Drosophila melanogaster: one gene and its partners. The protein of the gene in region 3 interacts with the protein of the main gene of each other region in a pairwise test. Each region holds a gene or a part of one and is shown on either strand. Other genes may lie near its edges.

Evidence for each region. Proteins that work in one complex are often made in the same cells at the same time.
Region 1: the proteins of Prosbeta4 (region 3) and Cpr11A interact in a two-hybrid assay, tested with the Drosophila melanogaster proteins (one large-scale study listed by BioGRID).
Region 2: the proteins of Prosbeta4 (region 3) and Inx3 interact in a two-hybrid assay, tested with the Drosophila melanogaster proteins (one large-scale study listed by BioGRID).

What each region holds. Positions count from the first base shown.
Region 1 is NC_004354.4:12,484,824-12,490,608, forward strand, and holds Cpr11A (cuticular protein 11A), read left to right. Parts: upstream 1-2,146; 5' UTR 2,147-2,258; coding exon 2,259-2,270; intron 2,271-3,003; coding exon 3,004-3,218; intron 3,219-3,493; coding exon 3,494-3,673; intron 3,674-3,818; coding exon 3,819-4,224; 3' UTR 4,225-4,625; downstream 4,626-5,785. Other genes in the region: Lsp1alpha (larval serum protein 1 alpha), read left to right, coding at 5,560-5,769.
Region 2 is NT_033777.3:28,852,555-28,861,612, reverse strand, and holds Inx3 (innexin 3), read left to right. Parts: upstream 1-2,398; 5' UTR 2,399-2,457; intron 2,458-4,273; 5' UTR 4,274-4,307; coding exon 4,308-4,470; intron 4,471-5,671; coding exon 5,672-5,880; intron 5,881-6,206; coding exon 6,207-6,667; intron 6,668-6,729; coding exon 6,730-6,883; intron 6,884-6,951; coding exon 6,952-7,152; 3' UTR 7,153-8,007; downstream 8,008-9,058. Other genes in the region: spg (sponge), read right to left, coding at 8,283-8,431, 8,493-8,734. UniProt on the Drosophila melanogaster protein: Structural components of the gap junctions. Essential for proper epithelial development of the epidermis.
Region 3 is NT_033779.5:16,730,137-16,734,647, forward strand, and holds Prosbeta4 (proteasome beta4 subunit), read right to left. Parts: upstream 1,998-4,511; 5' UTR 1,898-1,997; coding exon 1,807-1,897; intron 1,733-1,806; coding exon 1,507-1,732; intron 1,442-1,506; coding exon 1,153-1,441; 3' UTR 1,044-1,152; downstream 1-1,043. Other genes in the region: Tsen2 (tRNA splicing endonuclease subunit 2), read left to right, coding at 1-80, 135-397; CG17996 (uncharacterized protein), read right to left, coding at 415-719, 773-824; Nubp1 (NUBP iron-sulfur cluster assembly factor 1), read left to right, coding at 2,496-3,431; glu (gluon), read right to left, coding at 3,661-4,131, 4,200-4,511.

The DNA.
Region 1 (5,785 bases), on a different chromosome or scaffold from region 3:
GACAATTAATGGGGTGATAGATCGAGATGATAAGTCAGTTCGATTGGACGGACACTCCCTTTTGGGCTGACTTTTTGTTAACTCGTTTGCTTGGACCTGGTCTCTAAGTGAGCCATCAAGATCGACTCACAGATCAAAAGACAAGACTCTGGGGCGTGTGCAAGTATGCATAACAAATGCGATTTGATATCAAAGACACGGACGAAATAGCAGACATCAAACATCAGAAACACCAGGTTAATTTCCAAGGCGAACTCAGTTGGTTGAGCCAGACGAACTAACTAACTAACAGCCATCACACATTTGACAAGTCGCTGAAATGGCCAAAACGTTTTCATTAGGCCAAGAAGATCAAACAACCAACCAGAAGAAGAATTAAATGGCCAAAAAAAAAAGAGATACTTCTTTTCGAATGAAAAATGAATGCCGTGCGGCATTCGTTTAAGTTATTAAGCATAAAACTTAAATTAGAAGCACCATTAGCGATTATCATTAGAGCTGCGTGTCCGGTCCGGTTTGATTTCAATCTCATCCACGCGTTGGGTAGACAAAATGTGATAGACTTGATTGCTGACAGCCATAAATGCAGTGTTCAATCAAAATATGTTTGCAAAACCCGCCAATCCAGGAATAAATGTATAATATCTATAAGTTGGCCAAAAAATAGTTCAAAAATAATAGATATATATATGTTCAAATGCAAGCCAGGTTTAGCAAACAGAAAATCGAAAGAATATGTCTATAATATTAACATTTTAAAATATACAATATTTTCGTTATACCTTGAATTTTGGGTGTATATGTGTGTCATTGTATTTTTCAAAACAGTTTGATAAGCCATATTGTCATATATCAGGATTTGTATAAACTGTTTACTTTTAGAGCTCTAAAATTGGCAAAAAGGAAATAAATATTAATTAATCGAGAACTAGTTTAAAAAAAGGTAAATTTTGAACATTACATTTTTATGGGGCCTTAAAAATGGAATATGAATAACTATCTTAAGATAACTAGAATTCAAGGCAAGCGCTCTGAGAACCCAATACAAACATGAACCATCAATCAAATAACAATAATGCAATTTACAAGTAAATTCGGAAGATTTAGAAGACCAAACAAAGAGTTTCATAAATGGAGCCATTAGTGTAACCAATAACTATGCAAATGATGGAAATACAAAACGCTGAAAAGCTACCGAAAGCGAAAATCCGATGACCCTGTGCGGTCCGAAATGGTTAAATGGCATTTTTGAGCCCAAGATCTCACGATCTCTTAAGAAGATCCCAAGACACCAAGCACCGAAGACACCAAGACAGACACTGATCCGCCAGAAGAATCGCATTTGATAAATTTTGATAAGACCGAAAACGAAACGGCTAATTAAGCGAAGGCTGACTGATATGCATATTAGCATATGAAACCGAAGAATGAGAATGGGGCATCTTATCAGTGGTGAAGAATCATCATCGCCTCTTTCCGCTGAAGAAACGGATGAAAGATTTGCGGGTTCCATTCAGCGGCACTTTCGGAACTTGGAACTTGGGTGTCCGCTAAAATAAACTGGTCGCCCAAGTTAGTATAGTATATATATAGTTAGTATATATATATATATATATATATTCCATGCTTTATAAAAAATTAACGCAGATTTAAATTTACGCACATGCACACACTCACACAGACACACACACCACACACACACACACACACTCAGGGAAGAGAATCATCATTAAACGTGTATGCTAATTTGATGATGGCGGTTTTCTAATTTTGTTGCCACGAAAACCAGATTTCTATGCTTTTCGATCTGCGATCAGTCTCCGTCAGCAACGGAGATACCGAGAAGGGAGAATTGTCCAGAAGACCCGTAAAATGTTACATCTTCTGGATGCTGAAGATTCACCGATGGATGATGCCCCTCATCTGGGCTAATCCCCTTCCTCACACACATACACACACATATATATATATATATATATATGCATATATACCATACCGATTTCAGCGTTGACAAACTTTGGCTTTTTTTGATTCTAAGCGGCTGCGACGCCGACAGAGGCTCAGTTCGTTGTCCGGTTCCTATTTCTGTCGACTTCGCTGCCGGCGTCGCTGATAATACCATATATAAGGAAACAAGAAGTCGCATCGTTTGTATTTATTTGCTAGAATCTGTGAGCATCGGAACTAACCGAGCCGCTACAATAAAAAAAAAAAAACATAAATTAGTCCTCGTTACGAAAAAAAAAACACACATAAAAATGAAGAGTTTTGTAAGTGCCCGAAAGTACTGAAAAGTATATATTTAATGAGTTATTTTTTTTTTTGTGGTGTCTCAATAAAAAAAAGGATCAAGTGAAAGTGCGCGCAAAAAATGTCCTTCAAAAGTGTGAATACTTTTAAGCCACAGAAATGACTTTAAAGCTTATTTTGAATCTCAAACAAAAGATACACATTAAAATCAATTTAACCGAAGTTCCTGCGAGGCTGCTTTTTAGTTTTTTTTAAGCTTTACCTAAGAATTAGTATGCCAAATTAAAGAACTAATGACCCACACTTTAAGGAAAGTCCGAAACCTAAAGTGTTTGAATATCACCTTGAGCAGCCGCATAGCTCATCGACGTCAAAACAGACGAATGACAAATATCGAAACGGTTGGAACCCATTATGATTAGTGCCTCGGCCCGAAACCAAATCAAATAAATCACAGCAAATATAGATAAAAAAAATTAAAAAGACTAAAAAAAAAACGAAAAAAAAAATAAATAAACGAGAGAATTGCGAGACAAAGCGACGCTGTGCGGTCAGAAACGCCAGCGATTCGCGCGCGACTTTGATTAATTGCCCGTTAATGCGAAATGCAAAATACGAATCCCAATTCAAATCCAAATCAAAATCCGTATCCAAATCCGAATGCGAAAAAAATAAATCGTAACGACTGTGATCCACAGATATGACTAATGCATCGTGTGACAAGTGGCACTAACCAGGCATTCTATCTTTTAGCTGATCCTTCTGGGTTTCGCTGCTCTGGCCGCTGCCGATGTCAAGCATCTGACAGATCGCAATCTGGACCTCTTCAAGTACAATCCCAGCGATATCTACACCCTGCCCGAGGACATCGATGACGACAAGCCGGCGGTGCACTTTAGCGGCGATGTCATGAAGGCCAAGACCGAAACCCTCCAGAACTACAACTCGGGCAAGAAATTCAAGCTGGAGTGAGTATCTATGGTACCTATATAGTTCATAAAGTGATAGTGTTTGGCTAAATTAAAACATAATTATATATTTATATATGAAGTTGAATCGCAGTCTAAAAGAAAACTACTTTAACATAGGTTTATAGATCTGTAATAACTTTTGATGCATAGCAAATAAATTCAAGTAATTTGATATATTTTTTTAAATAATTTACAAAGCATCAAGTAATTTGATATATTTTTTTAAATAATTTACGAAGCATTACTAAAGTTAAAATGAACTTTTTTTTCAGACTGAAGACCCAGAACGGCATCGAAGTGAGCAGCGTGGGCAAACTGAAGGACGACAAGACCTTCGTGGTCAGCGGCTCCTACTCGTTCACCGGCGCCGATGGCAAGCGGTACAAGACCCGTTACACCGCCGATGAGTTCGGCTATCATCCCATCACCGAGCTGGATCTGGACATTCCCGAGTGAGTAACCAATACACTTTACAAAAAAAACGTTTAAGAACTTCTTCAAACTAGCACATTTGCGTACAAATCAGAAGTTTCATACACTATTATTGCAAATGATATAATGAATATAAAAAACTTATTTTATATTTATATATTTTAGACCCCAGCCTTTGGCTTCTGCCGGACAGCGCCAGACCGTGGATCCCAGCAGCCTGTTGGGCAACAAGAACCGTTTCCAGTTCCTGCAGCAGACCCTGGACTCCGATCAAGGATCGCAAGGTCCTCTGAGGGGCAGTGGACAGAGTGGCGATGACTATAGCTACACGTCTCCCTATGGAAATGGCAATGCTTACGGTAATGGAGTTGGAAACGGATACGGAAATGGAGTTGGCAACGGATACGGAAATGGAGTTGGAAACGGACAAGGAAATGGAGCTGGAAACGCATACGGAAATGGAAATGGAGTTGGAAACGGATACGGAAATGGCAACGGCAATGGCTACGATTATCAGCCACCTCAGGTGCCCCTGGCGACGCCATCTCGTCTGTATCTGCCCACCGCATAAGGCGATTATTATTTAGATATACCCTTATCCAACACCCTTCTCCCGCAAGATTTATGCCCCACCCGATTCCCGATTCCTGATTCCCGATTCCCGATTCCCGATCCTCGATTTTCCCCCCAGCTGCAAGTATTTAGTTTTTAAGTGCAACTCCAACAGGCAAATGAAGAGTAAAACAGAGCTAGCGAAATTTTTTTTTATCATTTTTTAGTGTTATACACGGAGCACAATTTTATATGATATTATACACTGATATATGTTATATATCTAGCCTACACAAAAACACGCACACACACACACAAAAAAAACAAACACACACACAAATCCCGAGCAAAGACACAAACGAATCTATGTATATACACTGAGTGATATTAGTAGTAAATAAAATGGCTAAACTAACGATCAAAGTTTTAATGTGTTTTAATTGAGGAATAATATGGATGGGGATATTTATATATATATTTTGGCTTTGTAATAAAATGTTATTGCAAGCAATTGTTGAAATTTTATTCAGCATCGTTACAAAAAAAAATTCGTTGTTTCAGAATAAAGTTAAGTTTTATTAACTGAAAATGAATAGTTTGTTTACTGTTTTATAAGCATGGCATATACAATTTTCCAACTTAGATACAGAATCTATTATTACAGATTATGATTTTGTTCGAATGCCTAAAAGCATGCAACAAACGTATGAAATTCATCTGCATCTACATATAAATATATAAATTAAAGCGATATTTAATGACTTCTAGTTAAGGCTCTTAGCAGCAGACAAGTTTGCTTGATAAATTCGTTATGTATATGGAATTTAAAACTTTTTTAAAAACGGAATAGAGTGGTAGCCAAATGGTCAAAGTTATGACATTGCTCATACGCCACGTTGTACACACTTTTCTCAAAATAATGCCTGCCAATGCTTAACTTTAGTTCGTAATATGTATATGATTGGTAATATCTCTATATTATATACATATAAATAATTAAAATTCAAAGCGATTGAAACTTGTGCAGAAATTGCAGACAAAGAACCGAATCTAACGCTATTTTTGGAATGCAAATCTGGACTCGATATGTAGGGACCAACGTAGGCTGTCCAGAGATAAGCTGTTGCGGTGCAGTAGCAACAGATGTTCGTGGCGAGCACCTGAGATACACCCGATGATCCCTGATCCCGTCGTCACAGATATGTTATTTCCGATTACCGCGGGAATCTGTGGCTATATAAGCAGACCCGTGGGCGTCGGTAAGGCAACAGTCTTTAGGCATTGGATCCATCAAGTGCATCCGATCCGGAGCAGTTAAAGTTGAGTGTTTCGAACAAAAGAAGGAGTTTCCAGGATGAAGTTTGCCATCGCATTCCTGGCTTGTGTGGCCGTGGTCACTGCGACCGCTTACCACAAGACCCACGACATCAAGGTCGCTGACAAGGCGTTCCTGATGAAGCAGAAGTTCCTCTTCGAGATCGTCTACCGCGTGGAGGATCCGCTGATGTTCGAAGAGTACATTGCGATGGGAAAGCAGTTCTATTTCGACAAGGAGCACTACACGGTAAGTGGGAGAAGAA
Region 2 (9,058 bases), on a different chromosome or scaffold from region 3:
GCCAGGCATCTTTTACCATCCAACCTCCAGCTCCAGAACAAGCCGAAGAAGCCGTTTTGCTGTTAACGAGGCCTAAACGGCTTCGCTCTGGCTCAGGTGAAATTCAAAATGAGAAAGAGCGATAGGGAGAGAGAGAGAGAGAGAGAGAGAGAGAGGGATTCCCAGAGAGATTCTCCATTTTGGAACCGGAACCAGTAGAGAAGCAATGGTGCTATGGTAGAGACCTCGGAGAACAAGATCTATGGGTATCGGTCTCTGGGGAATGGTATGTTTGGTTCTCTGGCCATATAGAGATATATAGGTTTGTGTGGGGTTCGAGCCACCTCTGTTACGCCGGGAGCCGTGGCTCTGAGTTGACGTGACCAAATGAAGCACTGCGACTCGAAAATGTATCTCATGGATACGAATATGAGAGGAGCGCGTGCGCGGCTGCGTGGACCCGCAAAAATACAAACGGTAGCCCTGCTGGTAATGAACACTTTAAGTCGCTTTTAATTAAGTGCCTGACCCAAAGCTCAACAGGTGAAGGTAAAGGGAAGCAGCCAAATGTATTACCCAAAAATGCCAACCGCTGCTTTGCTTATCTGAACAAATTATTTTTTAATTAAGCCTCGCCTAAAGTGTTGGAAATCTATGAAGATATGACACAACAAAAAAAAAAAGGCTGAGGAGAAACGAGAAGACACAACAAGATGGAGAACCAGACGATACAGAAAAATTTAATTATTTACACTTCGATAAGCAGGGCTGTCAACCACAAACAAAAGCAATAGCGACAACGCGTTCGATGGCATTGTATCTATGGGTTTGGTCTCACCAGCGGCCCAGATACACGGCGTATCACAATCACACATGCCATATATTTCGTATTTAATGTCTTTATAAAAGGTGTAGCTGGCAGATACATTTCTGGCGAGAGGCGACAGGCCACAGGCAAGAGGCCAGGCCAGGGAGCATTGGGATAAGGGCATGGTAACCCGGCATCGGGAACCCTCAATAAACAAACAGTGCAACGCGCAGGGAGGCGAAGTGGAGCGCAGTGGTTCAGGACATGGAAACAGCAGCACCACCAGCAGCAGCAGCCATTTCGAAATGCCATTTCATTATGGCCAAGACCAAAGAACGCGGCGGGCCAAAGCCACCGAGCTGAGTCATTCCATCGGGCCAAGGAGTTGCAGGTTTCGGACTTGGAACTTGAAACTCGAAGGGGGGAGAATTTGGAGCCCAGATCCCAGGGAAATGGGAGGAATGCCTGGCAACAAGTTTGGCGTTGCTTGTCTAGCTCTCAGCATGCAAATGGATCTTCATTTCGGAACCCTATACACTGAGATCGCATCTGTGTGCGATCGGCCACGACGTGTATATGGGCCTGGAATATGACGACGAATAGTTCCTTAGACCCACTTGGCGGACCCTTCAGAGCGGCGTCTGTGCTGTCAGAGGACTCGCTGGATGTGGAAACAGCGATAAATTAAACGAACAGGCAGCTCCAAGTTCCGAGGAATTAATTGGAATGCACTTGGGGTCCACCTCATTAATTTTACTTACTTGAGTTTGGATTCGAGGTCCTATTAATTTAGAGGTGATTGATAGAAGGATAAATAATTGCATGGGCTAGCGATTGCATAAGAACTAAAAGTACGTATTATAGACTTCAAGTTTTCCAGTGCAGTATTGTTAAAGTTTAATAAACTTGTAGTACTAAATTCAATAAAAAGACTTTAAAATGCAATAAATTTTAAAATTGAATACTATACGTAATAAAATCACTTAAATAAGGAGAGAGACTTTGAGCAAACTCTTAGTACATCTACAGTTTTGTTTTCTTGAACTCTGCCCAAGTCTTAAATATATCTTTTGTTCTTAAACTCTTTTATTGGATGTTCCAGTTGTGGCCCATTGTGTTCCTAAATCTTTGTTTGCCCTTCGTCGACTTGAACTGCGACTGTTTAAGCTACCCTAACATACTCTAAAACCCAAATCTAGCTGATTAAGTTGTACGTCCCCCCTTCATCCAGAGACCAAACTAATCAATGGATTTACAGATTTCAAATCCAGATGTTATTGGGCCTCGTTCAAGTCGGTTCAAGATCGAGGGAAAATCTGAGAATCAAGCCATTTGAGCGAGAACTACCTAAGCGACCTGAGGTGGTTGGGTGGGTCCTCTGCACCTCGGCACCAAATACTTCTACAGGTAACAACACCGGGTCTCTCGGCTCAGGTAAGAGGCAATGCGCGAATGCAGCTTGAGCGTATTTACGAACTCGGAGCGGGAACCAGCTGGGATCGCTGGTTCCGCCGGAGAGGGAAAACCACCCAGATCGCAAGAGCGACTCTCTCGCGGCTCGGGAGGCATATATACAATGGATCGTTCTGTTTCGAGCTCGGGGACTTGGTTTTCAGTAGGTTTTTGAACGCCGCTGAGAGCAGCTGCACATTTTCGAGATACGGATACGGGTATGGGCACCATTGACTTGTCTGAAATCACAGCTCAGCACCACTGAGCAACCACCAAGCTGCACGCACACCACCATCGAATGCAGTTGCGAGTGCAATTCCAGCTGAGTCTGTCTGTGTCTGAGTGTATCTGTGTGTTTGTACTTGTGTATAATAGAAATCTCGCATTTGCAACAAAGTTAAAAACAAACAAAAAACAACTAAAAAACCAGCCAGAAATTATAAATACTGGGAGCGAAAACCCGTTTCCGAAGTGTCAAAGTGGCAGCAATAAATTTAAATGCGAGCGGAGAGCTCTGAAAAGCGGAGCTACTTCGACTCCAGCAGGAGCAAAAGAATCACTTAAGTGTGCGAAGGGGTCGTCGCAGTTCGGTTCTGGCCAACTGGCAGGTTGCTGTTGCCAATCTTGGTAGCAACACCTTCAGGAAAAAAGGAGAAAAAAAATGACACACCAAGGAAAACGACACAAAATGAGAGAGAACAGTGGCAACAACCGATCGGATCCGATCGCGACCGCTCAGCTCCGCTCCCAAAAAGAAAATACCTTAAAACCAGTTTCTTTTTTTGTCTTTTTCGAAAAAAAAAAGAGGGAAAAAAGAGTTATTGAAAGAAAAAAGGCCAGAATTGAAGTTGGGCCGAAATGAAGTGCTCTCCGCGTATCTGTGTGAGTGCCGTTCGTGGCGTTGTGTGCGTGGTAAGATTGAATGTTCAGTGCAGAAGCTGATGCATTTAAAAGGAGTAGCTGCCGTTGCGCAGATACAGATACTTTGCGACTTTAATTGCCGCTCGTATGCGTGCGACAGAGACGACTCTATGCGCCCTGCGTGCGGCGCAGTGTTGCTGTGTGCGTTTCGCTCTCGGAGTTACGGATTCCGATTCGGATTCGGAGTTATATACGATGCGATCTGTCGTGCCGAAATGAAATACAGCCAAAACACACACAATAGCCCGAAACACCAAAAAAAAAAAATTTGCATATAAACAAAAGAGCCGAGAAGAAAGCCAAGCAGAACCTGATCCACGGCGAGCCGAAATCCAAAAACCCAACTCGAAACCCAAAAAGCACCGACAAAAGACCAAAAAGTGGGAAAAGAAAACAAAACCCCTTTTGGGCATGGGGACAAAGTGAAATTTATGCGTGGGTTGACAAAAAGCTGTACCGGTTCTGAGAGCCGAGTTCTTGAGATGAACTTGTTCGCTATCTAGTACTTTTGGGGACAGCCCGGGGTTACCAGGCAAGGGCAGGGCATTCAACCTGGACCTGGAGCTTAGCGCAGATTAGATTAGATTGCACAACATACTCGCATTATTCAGTTAGAGAGAGAAATAGCTATGCTCCCGACAAACAATTCCGGCACTGCCCAAGCACTTACCTAATTGTAAGTGCGGCTTGTCGACGATAACGCCGAGAGACCCAGACAACCGATGGAATGGTTCGGTATGCTATATAGTATGGCATGGGAACATGGACTGGTACTGGAGCTCAGATTGGGAGTAGTGGGGAGGAAGTATGGTCGTGTATGGGTGGGTAAAGGGTGGTGAAATAATTTGGAATATGTCATGTCTGTCCTAGATAACGCACAAGGCAAACACACAGAACGCAATCAAGTGTGGCAAAAGAAATGAGGCAGATTGCAATGCACTCCACAATCAAGATAACTTGCTCCCAATCCAATGTCCAATAACAAAAGAAAAGTAAAACAGATTCGAATCAATAAACCGCATTGTTAATAATTGAGCGTAATTAGGAACTCTATGCCCATTTCTCACAGTGTCCCGCTGCTCAACTCGTTAATGCTCTCTTCTCCACTTGCAGTTAGCTTCGTTGCAGCAGCACACCAACCATCAACATGGCGGTCTTTGGCATGGTCTCGGCTGTGTCCGGCTTTATCAAGATACGCTATCTGCTGGACAAGGCGGTCATCGACAACATGGTTTTCCGCTGCCACTACAGGATCACGACGGCCATTCTGTTCACTTGTTGCATCATCGTCACCGCAAACAATCTGATCGGTAAGTTAGCACCTACTGAAAATTAGTGCAGCTATGCAAGTGTTTAGCACTTGAGTAGCCCAGTTTGTCAGTTTGCTTTTGCAATTGCTGCAATGCTGCTAATGCAGCACTAAATTCCAAGAAATACGATTCGACCCATTTGAATTTGAGCTCTTCGGAACGGAGGCATAAACGCGTGCAGAGCTTTCACAAATTGACCGCAACACGTTGATCGGATTTCAGCTAAAGCCATTTATTCGAATGACTCATTCCTCGGTCCCCACGGGTGGTGGTGGTGCTAGCCTGTGCCTCGCCAGAAATTGGCGTGAAAATCAATGTATATGGCTCAAGCTGGGCTCAGTGAATGGTGTCTTACATAATGGTACTTGTTATTAATATGATTTTACATTCCCACGCACTTTTAAGCGAGCTTTGTATTAAACTCGAAGCAATTATCTCTCTTCATTCGAAAAAGGGTGATAAGAAAAAGGCCTTGAATAAACAAATGATTAGCGTTATTAAAAATCAGAACTAGTAGACTAAGCACATTTCCAACAAATGGTTTTTAAACAACAAGGCAATTTAATTATGCTCAATCGTTTTTATTTTTTGTCATTGAAAACTTGCTGACTTTAAAACCCATTTTACGAGATTTTTATCTGATCTAGGCATCGCAAAGCCATCGCAGCTTCAATCCAAATATTTGTACATTAAAAGAAGTGCTCCAAAAGTGAACAACTGACAAAACCACAGTCAAATATTGACGGTTGGTTCTGGGAATTCCCCATCCAGCCCGCTCCACCTTCGTCTGCAGCTCCATTTGTATCCACTTTGTTTATCCAAAAGGGGGAGGAGTTATAGTAGGAACACGGGGGAGTCATAGTGAACGATAAAGTTGGGGCGCACCCAAAAAAAAAAGGCTGTCTATCTGTCCGTCCGTCCGTTCGTCCATCCAGCCGAATGTTGCAGGTTTACCTAGGCACGTCTGCAGCCATAATAAATGTAACCGTAGCATAGTCGTTACCGCACCCACAGCGTCGACAAATTGGGACCGTGGAGCCAGCTCCACCAGACCACCAGAGATTGCCCTAATGGCACTTGACGTTGACGAACGGCTGGCGAGAAGGTTTCTGGCGAGGAATGCGCTTGCGTTTCCCTTGATCTGAATTGCGACGAGGTCGAGTGCATATCTAAAAAATTATCTCTATCTCTGCGCTTGCAGGCGATCCCATAAGTTGCATCAACGACGGCGCCATTCCGATGCACGTAATCAACACCTTCTGCTGGATCACCTACACGTACACGATACCTGGCCAGCAGCATCGGCAAATCGGAACGGACGTGGCTGGTCCGGGATTGGGCAATGAGTACGGCCAGGAGAAGCGCTATCACAGCTACTATCAATGGGTGCCATTCGTGCTATTCTTCCAGGTGAGTGACGCTCGAAGTAATATATGTACGCAGTACTTAGGAAAGATTTACAATTTGAATTGTTTACATCGCTGTGGATTTATTTTGAAATCCATAGGAGTAGTACTTAATTGAATAATTTACCCCACGCTTTCTCAATTTACATGATGATGAGCAATCTTGCAATACGAAAAGTTCCATCTTGTCTGTAGATTAAGTGAACTTAATTGAAGTCTTAGTATGACTGTGGCCTATCACATGCTGTTCGCTTTAAACGTGACAAATGTGGTTTCATTAATTTATTGTAATTCCCGCTTCCGACCAAACTAATCTGTAAATTATTTCAGGGGCTCATGTTCTACGTGCCCCACTGGGTTTGGAAGAACATGGAAGACGGCAAGATCCGCATGATCACCGATGGACTGCGCGGCATGGTCAGTGTGCCGGATGACTATCGGCGTGATCGCCAGGACCGGATCCTCAAGTATTTCGTGAACAGTTTGAACACCCACAACGGCTACTCGTTCGCATACTTTTTCTGCGAACTGCTTAACTTTATCAACGTGATTGTGAATATCTTTATGGTGGATAAGTTTCTGGGCGGTGCTTTCATGTCCTACGGTACGGATGTGCTCAAGTTCTCCAACATGGATCAGGACAAGCGCTTCGATCCGATGATCGAGATCTTTCCCCGGCTCACCAAGTGCACGTTCCACAAGTTCGGTCCCAGTGGATCGGTCCAGAAACACGACACTCTCTGTGTGCTGGCACTGAATATCCTCAACGAGAAGATCTACATCTTCCTGTGGTAAGTAGTTGAGTGGGTTCTTACTCTTTGAGGGAATCTTTAACCTTTATTACTTTTCATAGGTTCTGGTTTATCATCTTGGCCACCATCTCCGGCGTGGCTGTGCTCTATTCACTGGTGGTTATCATGATGCCCACCACTCGGGAGACCATCATCAAGCGTTCTTATCGCTCGGCACAACGGAAGGAAATCGCCGGACTGGTTAGGCGTTTGGAGGTGGGTGCTCAACTAGAATACCATCCATACCTATTGTATATTAATCCGTTTTTGGTTTTTCTCAACAGATTGGTGACTTCCTGATCTTGCACTTCCTGAGCCAGAACCTCAGCACAAGATCGTACAGTGACATGCTGCAGCAGCTCTGCGGTCTGCTAGGAGCATCCCGAACACCATCCGCACCATCGACCCTTGAAATGAACCGCATCAGCCATCCGATTTATCCGCCCGTGGAGACCTTCGGCGGTGGCAAGGAGACGGAGACATGAGCCCGTGGCCAGGGTTTGGCTTCAAAACAATGATTTCAATGATTTCTCAATAATATTTGTAGGGGGGAGATAGAGAGAGTTGTGTGTCATGAGGTTAGGCATTTCCATTTCTACCACTAAGACTGCAAGAGAACGAATCAGCAATTGCACTTTCGGAGATCCAACTCAGTAATGTTCTGTGCGAAATATATTTAGCAAAATTATAAGGAAACAATCTTTGAATATGGTCCTAGGCAGGCGAAAGACAGGTGCAGTTCGTCATTGACACGAGGTGAGCCACAGAGTGAGAAGATACAAATAAAAAATAAATCAAATAAAAATGTGAAAAAAAAAATATCATAAAAAACGAGAGGGACACAGGCAGACCGTGCAATTTGTAGGTTGAAGATGATGATTGAACGACGATCGAGGATATCCCATATAACGATTTTGCTACTTGGTATCGTAGTTAGGTCGTTGACAATGATGCGCCATTTAAAATATACACATAAGTTTAGCAGTTAGCTCGATAGTGGACAGATGGATAGTTCGGATCGAGGAATACCTATGCAGCTATATATCTGCTTACCGCTCACGCACGCTCACGAAACGTTGATCTATATAAAATTGTAGTAATCGAATGGTACGAATACGACGAGGAATATGATTATGAATATTTAAACGAGTATACACAATGCTCTCGCTATTTTTGTCCTAACATTTAGTCTACAGATATATCGTAATTTTAAGCAATTTTGTTTATAACAAAATTATTGTGATTATTGCTAGAAAAGAACACATTTTACATAAAGCAAAAGAGAACCCAAGCTATCTAAGTTCAAAGTTGTAATAAATATTCTACATACAATTTCAGCTAAACCCAGGACTTATCAGTGGGCGGGAAGCGATTGTGGTTTTGGATTTCTCAATTGCTAAGGTCGGATTTTCCATTGTTTATGAAAAAAGCTGTGATTTTGAACTAGAGTACTACGCATTAGTTGAGAGTACTTATAAACAAGGGAAACCTTCAAGAACAACTTTAAGTTTTTTACATGAAACGCGAATCCATGAAAGTCTATCTTCAATAAGCTACGGATGTTTTCATTAGCTTCCAATATCCCTATATCAATATCCAATATCTGATCACTTACCGATTGCCCCAATCTATCTTTGAAACCACAACCATCTGAAGCTCCAGAGTTTGATCCTGAGTCATGGTGGCACTAAGGAGTTCCCTCCGACTTTCCAATATGGAAAACATAACTTTGCGCAGGGTTTGGAACTTATACGCTTCGCGATCCTGAAAAAGATTAGGAATATTTTATCAAATAAAGCAAGTAGATCGAGTTATAACCACTTACCACATAGAGACGCTTCCAGATCTCCGACCATTCGCGCAGGACCTGCGTGCATTCGGCGACCACAGGATCGATTTTCGAGAGGTCCTTGATGTGTATGTAGGTCTTGGGGAAGAGACCCACTGCCCGCGACTTTCGGGGGCAGGAGCCGCGGTACCAGTGCTTGCACTCCTCCACAATGTCCACGGAATCGCCGACATCCAGTGCCAGGCCGAACCGGACATCGCCGTGCCAGTTGTGGATGGCTGTTGGCGAAGAAATGGGAAAATGTGTAAATGAAATTGAGAGCAGGAAAAGCTACAGTCCAAGAAGCGGCTGGATTACAACCAGTTGCGTTACCACTTCTCGGCCATGACATTGCCCCAGGATGGACGGCGTGGCAATTAAAGTGCCCCCCTCGAGTGGCCACTTGAGCATGCCACGAGTGGCCCGGCAACAATAAATACTTCAACTATAAATAGGCAAATGGCTACGAAAGGAAAATACATACATTCGAATGTGTGTATTTTTATGGAGCCTTAGTGTGTATATGGGGGTGTCTCTCTTTGTCTGGAACACGGAACAATGAG
Region 3 (4,511 bases):
TGAGAACTTGGCCAGCTATGTGTATTTGAAGTCCAAGAATTGGGTCATCAAGAGCGGTATTAAGTTCGGCGGTGATTTTCGTAAGTTCTTAACTGAAGAGCTGCGAAATATATATACTAACTTTCCTTTTTTAGTTATCTACAAGCAAAGTCCTCGATTGTACCATGCCAGCTTTTTGGTCATTGTGCAAAAGCCTGGTGATACGGATCACTATCAATCAAAGAACTTGAAGGGTGTTCAACGCGTGGCAGAAACTTCTGATAAGGATGTGCTGCTCCTGACTGTCCAACCGCCTAAGAAGATAAGCTCTTCCAGGGATTTGCAGGAAGCCACAGTAACAGAGACTATTGTGCGGCGTTTTAATTACTTAACTTTTGTACAAAGCAAACAACAATAAGGAACTACTCAGGGACTCTACAACTTCTCCAGCCGGTGCTTCTTGGGTATGCCAGTGCTGCGATAGTCGGCGCGCTCCTGCAGATATATCTGCTTGCACTCCTCCTTGAAGGCTTCGTTCTGATACCACTGGGTGAGGCATTCCTTCAGGGCTGAGTTCTGTTTCCGACAGGTGGCCACCATCAGTATACTGCTGGCCTTGCAGCACTCCTGGAAGTCGGCCACCTCCTTTGAGCAGAACTCCGTCTTGGCACGATCGCGCATTATCTTGGGTATCAGCACTTCGCGCTCCACCTTGCGCAACCTAGTATCATTTGGATCGCCTAGCAAGGGCAGTGTCAGTTGGTGGTCATATTCGATTATTCTGAGGACTCACCCAGTCCATGGGGATTGTGGGGATCCACGGCTGGCTGTTGTTCAAGGCTCATATTGTGTTAAAAATACTATTTATTTTGTATAACAACTTTTAGAGTGACTGCCACCGGTGCGATGAAAAATACTAGGGATATAAAAATACCACGAGTATACTAAAATTAGATTCATTTTTAAGATATAAAATATAATTTTATAATTCGATTTCTTGAATATTGAAATTACTTAATGATCGTCTAGAACACAAAATTTGCCCGACTGATCGCTAATTCAATAATATATTTTTTTTTAAACCGATAAACCACCTTCGTGTATTAAATTAGCCAAGAATCCAGACGCATTTTATTACAAAACTGCATTTTAAATGCTTAAATCAAAACCTAACTAAGCGGCCAGGCTAGCAGCGCTGATTGGCTCCAAATCTCGCACACCATCCTTGTCCACGACGGCGACGGTGAAGTTCTTGAGGTTGACGACCAGGCGCTTCTGGATTTCGGCAATGCACTTCTTGAAGACGTCGTAGGCCTCCGCCTGGGTTATATTGGGGTGCCAGTATCGGTCATAGATGCTGGATGCGAAGATCGCACCATAGCCATGACCGGCGTAATTCACAGGCAGTGCATTGGCCAAATAGTCAATGAAGGTGAGCTCCGGACCCGCGTTGGGATCGTAGCTTTGGGGAGAAGAAACAGATTAGGCACGGAAAGCAAATGGATTGACTGATCTCATGATCCTTACCCGGCCACAAACATGAACACTTGGTAGGGCGTGCGACTGCGAAGATATTCGGCCAGATTCTTGCGAGTAAAATGAGCCGATTCACGTGGACTTAAATCGTAGCCATTGCGCATCTTGTACAACGCTATGTTCTTCGAAATGAATTCGGTAAATTGCTCCGTGTCGCCCGATTCGCCGACGGTTGAAATAAGCAGACTATCCGACACCTTGTGGATTTTGTTCTGATCTGCAATGGAAATTCAAGGAGACTAACGAAATGAGTCCCAAGCCGCCAAGAAAATGAGCACCATTTGGGCTTACCCTCTTTCATCACTATAATGGATCGGGCGTGGGTGGTGTCCGCCGCCAGCATCACGAAGTCAGGGCCCTTGATACCCAGTAGAGTCTCCATGTTGCAATTATATTTATACTTTCGGGGTTTTTTAACGAAAATTACAAGTTGTTTGTGAGTTGCCGAATGCGATGACAAGCAAGTTAAATGCAGAGTGGCCGTATGCTGGGCGGCTAAAAATACCGCTATTCTGAAAAGATACTAATAAATATAAGCTAACACATATTTATAATTTTATTTTATATTTATTATTTATCATTTTAAATTAACTTAATTATACTTAATTTTCAATTATACCTAATTGGTATGATATTCAAATCTTATAAGTTTACTTGCTTACTAAAATTAAAATTAAAATTATTTCAATGTTTCAACTTTGTCTAAATAAAAAAAAACTTTATTTTTAATAAACCCATTTTTGTTTCCTTTAATATGAATATGAATATTTACATATACATAAAAATTATGTTATATAAATTATAATTATAAATTAAATTATTAATAAAATTGAATATCTTAGTTATATATTATTTTTAATTTTAATCGCAGTTAATCAACACTTGTTGAGTGCCCGGTTATAACTTGGCCACACTGTTCCCTTGTTATCATTTCATTTCACAATTAGTTTACGGAATTCGAACTATTGAAACTAAGAGCCATGCAGGCACCACCTCCGGAACACTGTCCTGGCGTCGAGAGCGAGGAGGCGGGCAAGGGAAGTGCCTGTTCGGGCTGCCCCAACCAAGGACTCTGCAGCGATCCCAACAAGAAACTCGAAGATCCCGGCAAGGCTTTGGTGGTCGAATCCATGAAAGATGTCAAACACAAGCTGCTGATCCTGTCCGGGAAAGGCGGCGTTGGCAAGAGCACGGTAACCAGCTTGCTAACCCGCTATCTGGCCAGAAGTAATCCGGACAGTAACTTCGGCGTGCTTGATATCGACATTTGCGGTCCATCGCAACCGCGTTTGATGGGCGCCCTGGGGGAGAGTGTCCACCAGTCTGGGTACGGCTGGTCACCTGTGGGAATCGAAGACAACGTGTGTCTGATGTCCATCGGATTTCTTCTGGGCTCTGTGGACGATGCCATTATTTGGCGAGGACCCAAGAAGAATGGCATGATCAGGCAGTTTCTGAGCGAGGTGGACTGGGGAAATCTGGATCTCCTGCTACTGGACACACCACCTGGAACTTCCGATGAGCACCTGTCTGTGGTTTCGTACCTGAAAGACGACGCCAACCCGGAGTCCCTGCGCGCCGTGATGGTGACCACTCCACAGGAGGTGTCTCTGCTGGACGTGCGCAAGGAGATCAACTTTTGTAAAAAGCAAAATATCCCCATTGTGGGCGTGATCGAGAATATGAGCAGTTTCCGTTGCGGCCATTGTGGAAATAGCTCCGAAATCTTTCCAGCCAAAACCGGAGGAGCCGCTGCCATGTGCGCCGAAATGGGAATCCCGCTGTTGGGCTCCCTGCCTCTGGATCAACAGATATCCAAAGCCTGCGATTCTGGCGAGGATTTAACTGAGTTTAAGAATGTCACCACTGAGGCGCTGGAAGGAATTTGCTCAAAGATTATGGCCAGCTTTAGTTAAGAATAAGTTAAAGACCACTCAGTTTTTAAATAAAAAAAAAGATGCCTGTACAATTTTATGTAACATTTATTATTAAGCATTGAAAGGATAATACCAATTGGAAATACCGATTCACCTGAGGTCATCAAATTACGTCTCGGTCTTTACCAGAAATTAGATTACCAGGCAGTTTACAACATGCCCCTTTACAGGATAAGAAAACATTCTACAATATTGAAGTAGGTTGGAGTTAAACATTAAGTATGGCTGGGGAAGATGGCGGGCTTGCTAGGGACACATCCGTGGTTACTCTTCCCGTGGCATCTGACGGTTGAGCAGCAACCTCAGTGGCGGCCTGTTTCAGATTTTGCGCGAGTATTGTGTCCCTCACCGTACTTTCCAAGGGCGGCGCAAATGTGGTATCCCTCCCCAACTCACTAATCAAGCGGACTATTTGCTCTGACGGCGGCGATTGGCTCTTCTTCGTGGGGGTATCGTCTTGGTTCTCGGCAGCTATCGTGTTATCCCCCTCAATTGTTCCACCCACGTACTGGCTGTTAGCGACCACTGGCGACTGAGTGGGCAGCGTAGGCGGATAGTTCAGCATAGTGATGGAGTCCGTACAATCGCTGACCTTGTATATGCCCACCAGGAAGTTGGCCAGCTCAAACATGTTGACACGAAGTGAAACAATTATGAACTGAGCGTTTTTCGTACGTTCCTAAGTGAACACAACAACAATTGGCTTTAAAATGTGAATGTAAGGCAAGAAAGCAGAGAGGTATTTACCTTGATATAGTGACCCACTATAGACACATTCTTGAAATCCAGCGCCGCATCAATTTCATCCATGAAGTACAGCGGAGAGGGCTTGTAATAATGCAGGGCAAACACAAGTGCCAATGAGGAGAGAGTTTTCTCACCACCTGAGAGATTCGAGATGTATTTCCAGCTTTTCTTTGGCGGTCGCACAGTAAAATTTACGCCCTCGGTGAACGGATCCATGGAGTCCACCAGCTCCAGCTCAGCATCGCCGCCCAGTGTGATCATCTGGTACATTTCCTTCAGTTTTCTTGTTATAATGCTAAAGCCATCCATGAA